Cricetulus griseus: one gene and its partner. Each later gene encodes a partner of the first gene's protein in a complex. Links are inferred from orthologs where the notes say so. Each region holds a gene or a part of one and is shown in the gene's direction. Other genes may lie near its edges.

What was found. The genes of interacting proteins can lie anywhere in the genome.
Region 2: the proteins of Nxf1 (region 1) and Nxt1 are in contact, whole or in part, in a crystal structure (PDB 4WYK), measured with the Homo sapiens proteins. The link is inferred for Cricetulus griseus from reciprocal best matches to the Homo sapiens genes NXF1 and NXT1. Residues at the interface, in NP_006353.2 of Homo sapiens: Ala366, Pro367, Thr368, Thr369, Leu370, Pro371, Pro372, Cys373, Lys374, Gly375, Tyr377, His411, Gly413, Cys415, Cys416, Ser417, Leu418, Ser419, Ile420, Pro421, Phe422, Arg440, Asn441, Val442, Lys443, Lys444, Lys446, Pro448, Thr449, Arg451; in NP_037380.1 of Homo sapiens: Phe6, Lys7, Val10, Asp11, Cys14, Glu18, Thr44, Val46, Trp47, Asn48, Gly49, Asn50, Ala51, Phe61, Met64, Leu65, Pro66, Ile72, Ser73, Val74, Val75, Asp76, Cys77, Gln78, Pro79, Val80, His81, Glu83, Ala84, Thr85.

The regions. Positions count from the first base shown.
Region 1 is NC_048596.1:51,330,749-51,337,532, reverse strand, and holds part of Nxf1 (nuclear RNA export factor 1), read left to right. Parts: intron 1-3,315; coding exon 3,316-3,499; intron 3,500-3,683; coding exon 3,684-3,837; intron 3,838-4,704; coding exon 4,705-4,788; intron 4,789-4,868; coding exon 4,869-4,973; intron 4,974-5,090; coding exon 5,091-5,171; intron 5,172-5,257; coding exon 5,258-5,327; intron 5,328-5,415; coding exon 5,416-5,504; intron 5,505-5,633; coding exon 5,634-5,741; intron 5,742-6,082; coding exon 6,083-6,192; intron 6,193-6,784.
Region 2 is NC_048599.1:30,364,593-30,372,073, reverse strand, and holds Nxt1 (NTF2-related export protein 1), read left to right. Parts: upstream 1-2,846; 5' UTR 2,847-3,041; intron 3,042-3,058; exon of another isoform or gene 3,059-3,187; intron 3,188-3,222; exon of another isoform or gene 3,223-3,351; intron 3,352-3,377; exon of another isoform or gene 3,378-4,161; intron 4,162-5,976; 5' UTR 5,977-6,034; coding exon 6,035-6,457; 3' UTR 6,458-6,718; downstream 6,719-7,481.

The DNA.
Region 1 (6,784 bases):
TACACCAGGCAATCCCCTCCCATGGAGCTAAATTCTCATCCTTTTTGTTGTTGTTTTGAGATGGTCTCACTAAGTTGCCCAGTCTGACTTGAAGTTTCAAATTCTCCTGCCTCAACCTCAGTCTGTGTGTGTGTGTGTGAAGGATAAAGGTAAGCACTTTACCAGCTGAGCTGATCCTCAGTCTCCTTTTGTGTTAGTGCCTACATGTATATACATATAAACCTATACACAACGTCTGGCTTTGAACTCTACAAAGAGGAGGGTGACCTTGAGCCCCTCTGATCCTCTTGCCTTAAAAACAGTATACTGTGGCCAGGCGTTGGTGGTTCACGCCTTTAATCCCAGCACTCGGGATCTCTGTGAGTTCGAGACTTGCCTGGTCTACAAGAACTAGTTTCAGGACAGCCTCCAAAGCCACAGAGAAGCCCTGTCTTGAAAAACCAAAAAAGAAAAAATTTTAAAAAACATAAACACAGTATTTTACTGCACTTGGTTTCATTTATTTACTTTTTTTTCTTTTTCTTTCTTTTTTTTTTTTCAATATGTAGCTCTGACTGGAACTCACTGTATAGACCAAGATGAGGCTGGCCTTGAAAACTCACAGAGATCTGCCTGCCTATGTCCAGCTCATTTTCCTTTTTTTTGTTTTTTTTGTTTGTTTGTTTTTTGTTTTTTTTTCTTTCCCCTGAGACAGGGTTTCTCTGTGTAATAGCCCTGGCTGTCTGGAACTCACTTTGTACACCAGGCTGGCCTTGAACTCTCAGAGATCTGCTTCGGACACATGTGTATTAGAAAACACTCCAGGACCCTAATGTGGAACTGCCAGCTGATCCTGCATCTAGAAGTCCCTTGAGGTGCAGTCACTTCTGCTCACAGAAATGAGCATTGCCCAAATTCAGAAGGACAGTTTGAGAGCAAGGAGGTGGTGGTTGTTACTAGCTTATGTAGACCAGGCTGGTTTCTAACTCACAGAAAATCCACTTACCTCTGCCTCCCGAGTGATGGGATTAAAGGTGTGAGCCACTACCATCTGGCTATTATGTGGTTTTAAAATAGGTCATATTTGTAAGTTTTTTTTTTCATTTTTTGAGACAGGATCATGTAGTCCAGGATGGCTTTGAACTTGTGTAATTGAGGCCTCCACTTCCCATTTGCTGAGATTACAGTTGTTTCCCACATCTGGCTCTGTGGCCCTCATTTGTATGTATAGGCAAAAGATCAAAAATTTCAAGTGGTTTTCAGGGGTGCCATGTTTTACTTTTTATGTAGGAACTAGTTTCTGGTTCACTTGTTTTCTTTCAAAATTTTTTTCTTAAACATTTATTTAGGCCCAGCAGTGCTGGCACATGCCTTTAGTCCCAGCACTTTGGGAAGCAGAGGCAGGTGGATCTTTGTGAGTTAAGAGGCCAGCCTGGTCTACAGAGCAAGTTCCAGGACAACCTCCAAAGCAATACAGAGAAACCCTGTCTTGGAAAAAAAGAAAATTATTATGTATATAGTGTTCTGTCTGCATTCTAGAAGAGGGAATCAAATCCCTTTATAGATGGTTGTAAGCCACCATATGGTTGCTGGGAATTGAATTCAGTATCTCTGAAAGAACAGTCGGTACTCTTAACCTCTGAGCCATCTCTCTAGCCCTTCACTTTAATGATTTTTGACAATTTTATACATATACACAATGTGTTGTGATATTTTCACCTTTCATTACTTTTTCTTTTAAAGATTTAGTTTTCTGTCTGGTCCTTGCAGAGCCCAGAAGAAGGTATTGGGTCCCCTAGAACTACAAAGGCTACCTCCACATAGACACCTGTGCCCTGGCCAGGGGAAAGAACTTTTTATAGGTCATAAACATCAAAAAACAAGTTATTAGAAAGCTGTAGGGGGCTGAAGAGATGAGTTAAGAGCACTGACTACTCTTCCAGAGGACCAGCTTTGATTTCCCAGCATTCACATTGCAGAGCACAGTTGGGAGCTGCCATGTGGGTGCTAGGAACCAATTCTGGGACCTAATCATTGAGCCATCTCTCCAGCCTCTAACCCACAGATTTCTAAGATTTATATGAACTTGTGGAGAGAGACTCCCATCCCCCACACCCTTTAAACTTTATTTTGTTTTAAGACAGGATCTCATGTAGCTCAGGTTGATGTTAAATTAGTATGTAGTGGCAAATGATCTTGAACTCCAGATTCTCCTGCCTCTACCTCCCAGTTATTAGTATAATACGCATGGGCTACCATACCCAAATGAAAAATGCTCTTTTTGCTATTATTGTCTGCTTTGAGTCTATGCTGGGCATCAAACCCAGGTCCTTGAGTGTGTTAAACAAGCACTCTACCACTGAGCTACATTCTTTTTCCTTACTGACTTTTTTTTATATGTATATGAGTGTTTTGCCTGCTTGCTTATACATCTGTGTAACACAAGAGTGCCTGGGATGCCCATGACAGCCTCTGGAATGAAGTTGCAGAAAGTTGGGCACTGCAGTGTGGGTGCTGGGAATCAAATGTGGTCCTCTAGAAGAACTGCCAGTACTCTTAAGAATGAGGTGCCTAGCCTGGTAATCATCAGAAACTACTCCTCCAGCAGCTGGTAGCAGCAGATGTAGAGACCCACACACAAAGGTTAGGCAGAGCTAACCCCATGGAAGGAGGGGGGCAGAAAGGATTGCAGAAGCCAGAGGACCAGAATATGGCCCACAGAATCAACTAAGTAGGGCTCGCTCATAGGGGCTCAATCACGAAGCCTGCATGGGTCTGTGCTAGGTCCTCTACATACATGCTGTGGCTGTTTAGCTTGAGTTTTTTGTGGGACTCCTAACAGTGGGAGTTGGGGTATCTCTGACTCTCTTGCCTGCTCTTGGGACCATTTTCCTCCTGGGTTGCCTTGTCAAGCCTTAATCTGAGGGTTTGTGTCTAGTCTTAACTGCATCTTGTTATGCTGTGCTTGGCTGACATTACTGGGAGACCTGCTCCTTTCTGATGGGGAATGGAAGAACTCACTCTGTAGACCAGGCTGGCCTTGAAGAACTCACAGCGATCCACCTGCCTCTGCCTCCAAAGCACTGAGATTAAAGGCGTGCACCACTGCCTATCAACCCTTTTATTTTTCAGTAGACCTACAGTTTTCCATTAACTTGTTGTTGATGCCCTACAGAAAGTTTTTTCCTCTGGCTAGGATGTAGTTGTCTATATATATATATATGGAGGTAGCCTTTGTAGTTAGTGTCTGGCTTTCGAAAGAGTACAAAGTGGCCACACCAAGGTAACCAAGAGCACTCATGTATTACTACTTTTTGTGCCTTTTTCCAATTCCAGAGCATGATGACCGTGTTAGTTTCCCTCAGAGAAGAAAGAAAGGCCGTGGGCCTTTCCGATGGAAGTGTGGTGAGGGGAATCGTCGGTCGGGAAGAGGTGGTTCTAGTATACGGTCCTCCCGGTTTGAGGAAGATGATGGAGATGTGGCAATGAATGATGCCCAAGATGGCCCCCGAGTAAGATAGTAAGTGACTAATTGGTCTGCTTTAAATAGTGACTCACTAAATTATATAGTCCTTTTACTGCCTTTGTCGTTTCTCTTCTCACTTTGTAAAGTGATACTTGACCAAACCATTTAGTAGCTACAGTTTCATTAGCAGGACAGGTTCATCTTGTGTTTATGGAAATTTAATTCTGCTTCCCAACAGCAACCCCTATCCCAACCGGCCTAACCGTCGGGGGGATACTTGGCATGATCGAGATCGAATTCATATTACCGTAAGGAGAGACAGAGCTCCTCCAGAGAGAGGAGGGGCTGGGACCAGCCAAGATGGGACCACCAAAAACTGGTTCAAGATTACAGTGAGTACTTTGGGAGAATAGTTCTTTCAGGAAATGGGACCATACTCAGTGAAGGTGTTTGACACCCACTCTGAGCCCCTCAAATCCATTTTCTCCAATGTTTACTCAACAACCAAGTATCACATTTATCCACCATTTCCTTAGAATGAGTATCTAAAACATCTAAGAAAAAGACTAAGACAGGGAGTTAAGGACAGGCACAATGACAGGTGGAAGGCAAATCTGATTGAGTATGATCAGCAGAAGGGTCAGGAGGTAGAGTAACTCTTAAGCTAAGAGTGGCTCTAGGTGACTGTGGAGTTTGTGGGGCAGGTAAGGTACACATAATATCTTAGGATTTAGAATTAATATATTTGATGTGTGGCCATGTTGTCTGAGCCATCTTGCCATGAATAAGTATATGGAAAGAATTTTAAGGAAGTCTTTTTATCTTGCATGGAAACCATACATCTGCTCCTTTCTTTTTCTCTTCCTCCTCCTCCTTTTCTTTTTTTTTTTTTTTTTTAATTTCAAGACAGGGTTTCTCTGTGTAACAGTTCTGGCTGTCCTGGAACTCACTTGGTAGACAAGGTTGGCCTCAAACTCACAGAGATCCGCCTGCCTCTGTCTCCTGAGTGCTGGGATCAAAGGCGTGCGCCAATATGCCCAGCACACCTGGTCCTTTCTTTAGGAGAAAAAAGTTATTTTGTGGTAGAAGGGCTCTACCAGCCTCATGCATGTAAGCATGCCTCATCCTTTCTATCACTGAGCCTCATGCATGCATGTTACGCATGTCTTTTATCTTTGAGCTCCACCCCAAAGCTCTAGAAACCTTTTCAGTCTTGGCAGAAAATACTAAAATGTGCTTCCCTTCTCTCTTATTTCCAGATTCCTTATGGCAAAAAGTATGACAAAGCGTGGCTCCTGAGCATGATTCAGAGCAAGTGCAGTGTCCCCTTCAACCCCATTGAGGTATGGCAAAGGGAGGCTTGGGAGGCTGGCCAAAGGCCTGTGCTCTCCAAATCTCACGTTCTTGTTCTTCCTTCTTCCAGTTTCACTATGAAAACACACGGGCCCAGTTTTTTGTGGAAGATGCCACTACAGCTTCTGCATTAAAGGCTGTGAACTATAAGATTCACGATCGAGAAAACAGAAGGGTATGTTAGACAAAGGGCCTGGTGTGGCATAGGTTGACGCTGATGCACTGAGTGAAAAGGACTAAGTAAGTATTGGCCTACCTCAAGTATACTCTTGCCTTTGTGTCTTCTCTTCAGATATCTATCATCATCAACTCCTCTGCTCCACCCCGCAGTGTACAGAAAGAACTGAAGCCTGAACAAGTAGAGCAGCTCAAGGTGAGGCTGGCTTAAGTGGCCCAGTTGTCTTTCACTCTCCCTCAGTGATCACTAAACCCTTTCTTTGTCTGTCTCTTTTCATCTAGCTGATCATGAGCAAACGATATGATGGCTCCCAACAAGCACTTGACCTCAAGGGCCTCCGCTCAGACCCAGGTATGACAGTAGTGTCCCGGCTAGAGGGAGAGGGGGCCCAATCAGTTCGTATAACTCTCAGACTTCTTTTTCTTTTTGCTTGCTGAAGATTTGGTGGCCCAGAACATTGATGCTGTTCTTAACCGGAGAAGCTGTATGGCTGCCACCCTGCAGATCATTGAAGAGAATATTCCTGAGGTGCAGCTTCTTTTTTTGCATGAGAAAGCAAAGTGGGATATATCGGGTTGGGGCCTGATGAGGGATGAGGAACCAGACTTGCCTCTGGTCTACATGTAGTAACACTTCTAAATTTTGTTCTGTTTACAGCTATTGTCTTTGAACTTGAGCAACAACAGACTATTCAAGCTGGATGATATGTCCAGCATTGTACAGAAAGCGCCGAACCTAAAGACCCTAAATCTCTCTGGAAACGAAGTAAGGACTGATAACCTAGTGATGCTTTTTTTTTAGTTAGTGATTATGAGTGGGTGGAAGTCAGAGAACAGCTTTTGGAAGTTGGTTCTCTCCTTCCACTGTGGGTTCTTGGGCTGGAACGTGGATTGTGAGGCTTGTGCAGCAAGAGCTTCTGCCCACTGAGTGAGCCATCCCACTGGCTCTGGCTTTATTGTTATGTTGGGGGAGGGTGAGAAGAGTTTGGTTGGCCAAGGTGGTAGGCAAGAAAGGAAACTTAGGTAGCATTTGGGAGTGTGGAGATCCAACTGCTATTCTTACTTGGGTCTCTTTCTTCCCTTTTGCCCTCCCCTTATCCTTCACAGTTGAAGTCTGAGCGGGAATTAGACAAGATAAAAGGGCTAAAGTTGGAAGAGCTGTGGCTTGACAGAAACCCCATGTGTGATAACTTCCGAGACCAGTCCACCTATATCAGGTCAGTTGTAGCCTCTGTCTCCCCTCCTGGGGACCTTCACCCCCTGGGAGGCTGAGCTAATGCACCCTGACCAGAGCCTGTCTACAGGAGAACATACAGCCCTGAGCTGGAACCACCTGTCCTTTGGGAGGAGGATAACGTATTCCTTTCTGCCTCTCTGTGTCTCCCAGCTTTCTCCCAGATCTCTTTTCTTTCCTTCTCACCTGACTACTGTTCTCTGGTTTTCTGACCGTTCTCCTCCTTGAACACAGCCTTTTCTAGAATCTCCCTACCTGTTGTCCAGGAAGGGCACCTCCCATTTTCTGTTCTGATATGGGGGTGTCTTATGTATGCCCCACCCATATGATTGTCTTCAGCCAGAAGCCTAGTGTACTCAGGGTGAGAAAGTCCTCTCTAACTGGGACTATCTACTGAGATGGACCTCCTTTGTCATTTGATGGTCACTCTTGCCATTGTGCCAAGAGGGACTCTTCTCATGATCCATTTACCCAAGGCTATGGCCTGGTCTTTCCTGTCCATGCTGAGGTTGATGCCTCTGGGAGGCTGGTACCACTCTATTGGTCTCTCTAGCCCAGTGCTGTGAGCTGGGCCC
Region 2 (7,481 bases), on another chromosome or scaffold:
TGGGCCCACCAAAGTCAAAAGATTGGATGTGGTTCAGGTGACAGGGTATTCGAGACACAGCTGCTAAGACACAACTGTGAATTCACTGCAAATCACACAGCTGCTTTTGAAAACATGCTGTTGAAATTCTATCCAAGGGAAGAGCACTGACAGTGGGGGAGGAGAGCAAGCCCGTGTTGACAGATTTTACGATTCTTAAGTCAGGCCCAACTCTGTGTATGGACCAGATGTGTCCTTCTTCCTGGACAGGCTCCACATGGCAAACAGGAACACTGGTTCTACAGCTGCTTAGGCCAGCCTCATTTATCAAAAGTGTCCATGTGATCAGGTAACAAATCCCACCAATTTGTCATATGCTTGTCCCAAATGTAAAAGCCAATCATTTCATTAGAAGGATTGTTGACAAATGAAGAAGTTGCTGTGGACATAAAATATAAAACATAATTCGGTCCCATTAATGTTTCTGGATGCTAATTTGGATTCAGACCCATGTGAAGCCATTCCAAGTATATCATTAGTGTCCCTGATTTACAGATCAGGCAGCTGCTTCCTAGACAGGCAAACTCACATGCCACAATGACACTGCCTATACTCAAGGACACAATGCTGAGCTGAAAGTAATTAAAATGATGCCCAGCTTTAAACACTGACTCTTGATACTGTGAAGTCCAAAACTGAAGACTGGGGCTGAGTGTGGGACAGTGGCAAAGCATTTAGGCAGCACATCACATTCTCTGTCTCTGTCTCTGTCTCTGTCTCTGTCTCTGTCTCTCTCTCTCTCTCTCTCTCTCTCACACACACACACACACACACACACACACACACACACTGAAGAGGACAGTCCTAACACTCACTCACCAAAGGCCTGATTTCTTCTCACCCTTCCTGTCTGTCTCATCACTGATGAGTCAATTTCTCCTCAGAGGAGGAGGAAGACTGAAGAACTGCTGTCCATACCCATATTCAAAACGGAAAGAGGAAAAAATGCTCCTTTCCCAGAATGCCCTATCAAACTCCTTCTCCAGTCCAATGAGAGTAACTGGGACTCCAAAATATCTTATGATGCCTATTCTTGGTTGTCATTTTGACTACATCTGGATTTAATTAAAACCCAAATGGCTGGGTAAACCTGAGAGGGATTTTTTCTTTCAAATAATCATTTGAAGGGGGAAGACCCAATTTTAATATTGATTTCTGAGGTGGGAAGATAAACCTTCAATCCATATCTTTTGAGGTGAGAAGGTCCACCTTTAATCTAGACCACACCTTCTACTGGAAGCCTATATAATGGACATGGAGCAAGGAAGCTCTTTCTCTTTGCCTGCTTGCTCTCACCCTTGCTAGCAAGTTCATTCCTTCACTGGCATTAGAGCCTACTTCCAGCATATACTGAAAAGCAGCTGAGACATCCAGCCTTACTGACTGAACAACTGCTGTATTCTAGGGCCTTACATTCATTAGCAGCAATTGTTGGACTAGCTGAACCACAGTGTATGAGAGAGAGACAGAGACAGACAGACAGACACACACAGAGAGAGAGAGAGAGAGAGACAGAGAGACAGAGACAGAGACAGAGAGAGACTCATTCAATCTGTAAGTTCTGTTACTCTAGAGAAACTTGGCTAATACATACCCTCAACTGTGTCATTGATATGTTCCCTGCAGTCAGAGATATCTCTAATCTCCCCAAACTCAAGGGCTACAGATAGAATAAAAATCAAGTTCTTTTTCAAGAAAAGTCCTAGGGCCTATCACTACCTACCTCCAGGTTTATAAAGCCATTTTGGTGTAACTATTACTCCGAAGACACTCAGCAATCCAACTTCTTTCAATAATGAAAACTTTTCTCCTACTTGACTGCAGTGGGGGAGTGGCCTATATTAAGTAGCCTATCTGGTTTCTTAAGTCTATAAGCAAAGGTTACCTTAGGAACATGAACAAAAGGACCCAAGAGATTGCCAACAAAATACAGTACTTCATTTAACCTAGTCACTTCCAGGGGGTTCTCCCAGCCGGATAGATGAAGCAGAGAACCGTGTGCCTCGGGAAAATGAGCTTTTCGGGTTTTGTGTTACCCTCGGCAGTTTCTAAAGTTCCTACACTAAATGGTTCCATTCTAACGCTAAGTGTCAAGACTGCCCCGGCCGGGCGGTTTTGGTACATGCCTTTAATCCCAGCACTCGGGAGGCAGAGGCAGGCGGATCTCTGTGAGTTCGAGACCAGCCTGGTCTACAAGAGCTAGTTACAAAGCCACAAAGAAACCCTGTCTTAAAAACAAGCAAACAAACAAACAAACAAACAAGACTGCTCCAGATTAACCATATCAAACTTACAGGCGGAGGAACGGTTCGCCACAGCTAGAGCTAGCGGGGAACTCAACTCTAAGTGGCTTTATCTAAGAAAGGGTGCGTCAGATAAGATGACTGAGCCCATGGACTTCCACAGGACTCCCTCACTTAGCTTTCCACTCGGGCTCCAATACTGCGGGCGTCCTATACACTAGGTTCGGTCCAGAGCTTTACTGCAGCCATGCTGCTGTCTCCCTAGATGGCGTCAAGCCGTGAGTCTTCACAAAGAACCAACACAGACTGACGAAGGGAGGCAGACGCGCCCAAGCCGCACTGCTCTCGGCAGCCAAGTCTTCCGCTGCTAACAGCGTAGCCCCGCCCCCCTCTCACGCTCTCCAATCGAAGCTCCCTCAGCCGGAACTTCTCCCTTAGTGACGGCCCCGGAAGCCACACAGTTTTTGCAGCCGCACCTGGGCGGAGCCAGCCTTTCTACTGGCTCGCGTAGCTGCCCGTCACGCGAAGGCGGGAGCCGTTTGGACGCGAGACCTTCGCGCCTGCGTAGAACGCAGCACGCCGCGCGCGGGATAGCTGCTACCCGCGACCAACCGTTCCCCGTCTCCAGGACGCCGGCGCCTCAGGCGGAGCCTCTGGGAGGAAGAGGAGGGCAGGAGCGTAAATCTTCTGGCCCGGGACTGCGGCCGGGGCGGGACCCGGGACCGAGTCGCCTTGGAGGCGCTGACCGGGGCGGAGCAGGTAGGTGGCCGCCCCTGTCTGGCTGCGCGGTGGCCGGAGGGACCCCTTGCCTCCCCTCAGGCTCAGTAAGACCCGGGTGGTGTCTTTCCCCCACGTGGTGTCTTTGCAGCTGGGCATCAGGCTTTTTGCTGTGTACAACGGTGGCGGTGAGTTTGCCCTGCCCGGAGGAGAGCAGCAGTTTGGGGCCGGATGATGGCTCTAAAGAGCGTGCTGCCATCTGCCAGCGGCTTTGATAAGCGACGCCCGGCTGAACCTCAGTGAGGCCCGAGACACGGCTGCGGCTCCTGGGGTCCAGCTCCAGGAAGCTAGAGTATGGACCGCGGACTGGGGCATCCTCCTGGCTTCTCGCTCTACTGTGTTTCGGTCTTACTGTTTTCCCCTGGTGTGAGAGAGCTGAGCAGGTTCTGTGGGTAGCTGAGGACCAGAAGTAGGGGTGATCGATCATCCTTTGAGGGCGTGACCATTGTTGGATTGTGTTTGGAGGAAGCAGAAGAGAAAAAGTCAACCGGGAGCATCGTGGTCTAAAGGAAGCTGCGTTTGATGAGCTGGTTGGGCAGAGAGAAATGTGGCTACTTGGGAGGACATTCCCAGGCCGGCATCCCTGGAGCTGTCTTCATATAGACCTACTCTCAAAAGTCCAAAGAGGGCAACATGGCCTTGACCCCCTCGATTTTCCTAGATCGGCCTTGAGTCGACCAAGAGTGTGCAAGTTCCTCTTCCTTCTTAGTAAAGTTGTCACAGGGATACCCATGTGTGCAGCGATTGAGGGCATGATCCTAAACTACTTAAACACACAACACTTCAGACTGATTGTTGAGTCTTCAGTCTGAGGTTCTTGGAGAGAATGCAAAGAGCAAACTTTTTTTTAAGATTTTTTTATTTATTATGTATACAATGTTCTGCCTGCATGTATGCCTGCAGGCTGGAAGAGGGCACCGGATCTCATTGTAGATGGTTGTGAGCCATCATGTGGTTGCTGGAAATTGAACTCAGGACCTCTGGAAGAGCAGTCTTAACTTCTGAGCCATCTCTCCAGCCGGCAAAGAGCAATCTTAAACTGGCTCTGAACTGCACATCGTTAGGACCAGCTTCCTCCCAGCCCTGTGTGGAATCATCGTTCGTAAGCTGATAGTTTAAAAAAAAAAATAGAGAAAAGTTGGGTCGGGCACACCTTTCGTCCCAGCAGAGGCAGGTGGATCTCTGAGTTCAAGGCCAGCCTGGTCTACATAGCAAGCTCCAGAAATACATAGAGAGACCCAGTGTCAATAAAATAAGGGTACTTGAAATAAAAAAAGAAGTTCTAAGCTTACTCACTAGAGACCCTGTTTCTGGAAATTGACAAATAATATAAATTACTTGTGTCTACTATTTTAAGTAAAATTATACTGGTTTCTTTTAAATGAAAATTTTTAATCATAGAAGAAATTAACAGTCAAACCTGTTAGGAAAAAAATATGCTGTTTATGTGTTAGAACTTAAATTTTTTAGGGAGCTGTGATCTTTCAGATATAAATAAAACTGTGCCCATCCCCTCCCCATTAGAATCTTTGAGCTATGCAGTGGAGGCACACACCTTTTATCCCAGCACTCAGGAGGGAGAGGCAGGTGGATCTCTGTGAGTTCAAGCCTGGTTTACAGATCAAGCTCCAGAACAGGCTTCAAAGGTACACAGAGAAACCCTGTCTTGGAAAACAAACAACAACAAGAATTCATGGACTCTTTTTGGGAGCTGGAGAGATGGCTCAGCTGTTAAGAGCACTGATTGTTCTTCCAGAGGACCCAGGTTCAATTCTCAGCACCCACATGGCAGCTCACAGCTGTCTGTAACTCCAGTTCTAGGATATCTGACACCCTCGCACCAATGCACATAAAATAAAATTTAGAATCTGTTTGAATCCTAGGGTCTTTCTGCTTCGGTATTATAGCCCTCTGGTCTTACATGATGGGCATTAGTGCAAAGATGGAAATTCCGATCATTCTTGGGCTGGCTTCTTTTGGGGATTGTGACCACTATCCTCCACTCTCCTGAGAAATCTGCCATTCCCTACATCTCCTGAATCCTTGTTGGGTTAGTTCATTGTAGTCTTCCCAGATTGTCAGTCACCTACTCTACCTCTGGTAGCCTTTGTTGGGCCAGTAACCACTTATTTCTTCAGTTTTAGCCACTATCTTGACTAGGATGAGCCACACCCTGGTTGCCTAGAGGCAGCCACGCCTATTCCAAGCTTTCAGGAAAGAACAGTCTGTCACCAAATGTGCTCTAGTAATAAAGTGGATTTTAAATCCCATTGTAAGATGAACAAACATATCAGACTTTTTTTTTTTTGAGACCAGGTTTGCTGTGTTGGTTTTGAGATCAGGCTTGCTCTCTCTGTTCCAGGCTGGCACATGCACATGCCTCAACTTTTCTAGTGTGCCCCACCATTTTCACCCTTCCTGGCTTAAACCTTAACTCAGTGCTGGATGTGCATTGTCTTTTAATTTTCATGTTTTTTGGGTTTTTTAATGAAGAATCTGAGGATTAGTAAGATTAAACAAGCATCGAATGCTGGGCTTGCTTGGTGGTGAATGTCTTTGATCCCAGCACTTGACAGAGAGGCAGATGTATCTCTCAGTTCCAGGCCAGCTAGGACTACATAGTGAAACACTGCCTTTAAAATAAATAGGCAACAGTTTGAGCCTAAAGTCATGTGCCTGCAGTATGTAATGTTCTGTAGCCTATGGAAAAGGAGGATTGGGGGCTAGATGGGTCAATAGGTATAAGTGCTTACTGTCAAGCCTAACAACCTGAGCTTGATTCCTAGGACCCACTTGGTGGTGCATAACCCACATACATACAAATACAATTTTAAAAATTGAAACTTAAAAAAGTTTTATCAGAGCAAAAAAGACTTTGATATTCACATGTGTTCCCATCATCTTTGTTGTCATACAGTCCCTGGATCCCCACAGAGGAGCCAATCTGACAGAGGCCTCTGTCGGCAGAACCAGAGATGGCATCAGTGGATTTCAAGACCTATGTGGACCAGGCCTGCAGAGCTGCAGAGGAGTTTGTCAATGTCTACTACACTACCATGGATAAACGGCGGCGGCTGCTATCCCGCCTGTACATGGGCACTGCCACTTTAGTATGGAATGGAAATGCTGTTTCAGGACAAGAATCCTTGAATGAATTTTTTGAGATGTTGCCTTCCAGTGAGTTCCAGATCAATGTGGTAGACTGCCAGCCTGTCCATGATGAAGCTACACCAAGCCAGACCACAGTTCTTGTGGTGATCTGTGGATCAGTGAAGTTTGAGGGCAACAAACAGCGGGACTTCAACCAGAACTTCATCTTGACTGCCCAGGCTTCACCCACTAACACAGTGTGGAAGATAGCAAGTGACTGCTTCCGATTCCAGGACTGGGCCAGCTAGTGGGGTGAGAAAGGCTTCTTGGCTTTGGCCCAGCTCTGCAGAGAAATGCCAGTCACAAATCTCAGGATGTGGAGAACACAGTTCATTTTGGTTGTCACAGCAGCACTGCAAACTGGATGTTTGAGTCCTAGAAACCCCTTTCCTGGTTATATACTGGTTTTGTCATAGTTGCCTTTTAAAAGTAGTAAACTTTCTATTTTTCTACTTAATCAGTAGAGACCCTGTTTCTGGAAGTTGACAAATAAATAATATAAATGTGGCTTCTCTGCCTTATGTGTCTAAATTTTGAGAAGAGTGTGAAAGGCAGAAAGCATAGTAGGAAGCACCTATAGAGGTGGGTCTGGGATGAGCTCTTACCCCACTGTGATCTTGGTGGATCCAGAGCTGTAGGTGGTAGGTAGTCCTATCCACACTAGAATTCTTAAAACATTGGAAATTTCCTGTCCTGGGCCATATCCCTAGCCGGCACCTCCACTATAAATAAGATCTGGGCATTGGCATTTTATTTTTCAAAAGTACCCTTATCCTAATGTGTGATTTATATAAAAAAAAAAAAAGTTAATTCACCTGATAGTTGGCTTTGCCCCGTAGCACCTGGGATGGGAGTTATTGGTGATATATGTGAAGAGCAGCTGAGTGCTGCTCCTACCAGAAGCACCAAGGTTGGGAGGGGACGTCAGAAGCTGTAACACAAAGCACCCATCTGAAAATTACTTTTCAGTCTGAGCACAAGATTTGACATGTGATTCTGGCCAATGAAGCAGAAGTTGAAGAATTAAACTGAAGGATTGTGTTTCAATAAATGCTCACTTCCTCTCTGAATCCTAGACCACTGGTCATGGCTTCATCATGAATGACAAGCCAATCTGACTGTGACCTAGAGGTGGGGTCCTCATGCAGTGCTCTGGGTCTCTAGTGACCACAAGTGCCAGAGTAGCCCTGTGATATTACTTTGTGTCTTAGCCAGTCATACCTATGAAATAACTCCAAAGCTACATCTAGAGCAGTCAAACCAGTCCTACAG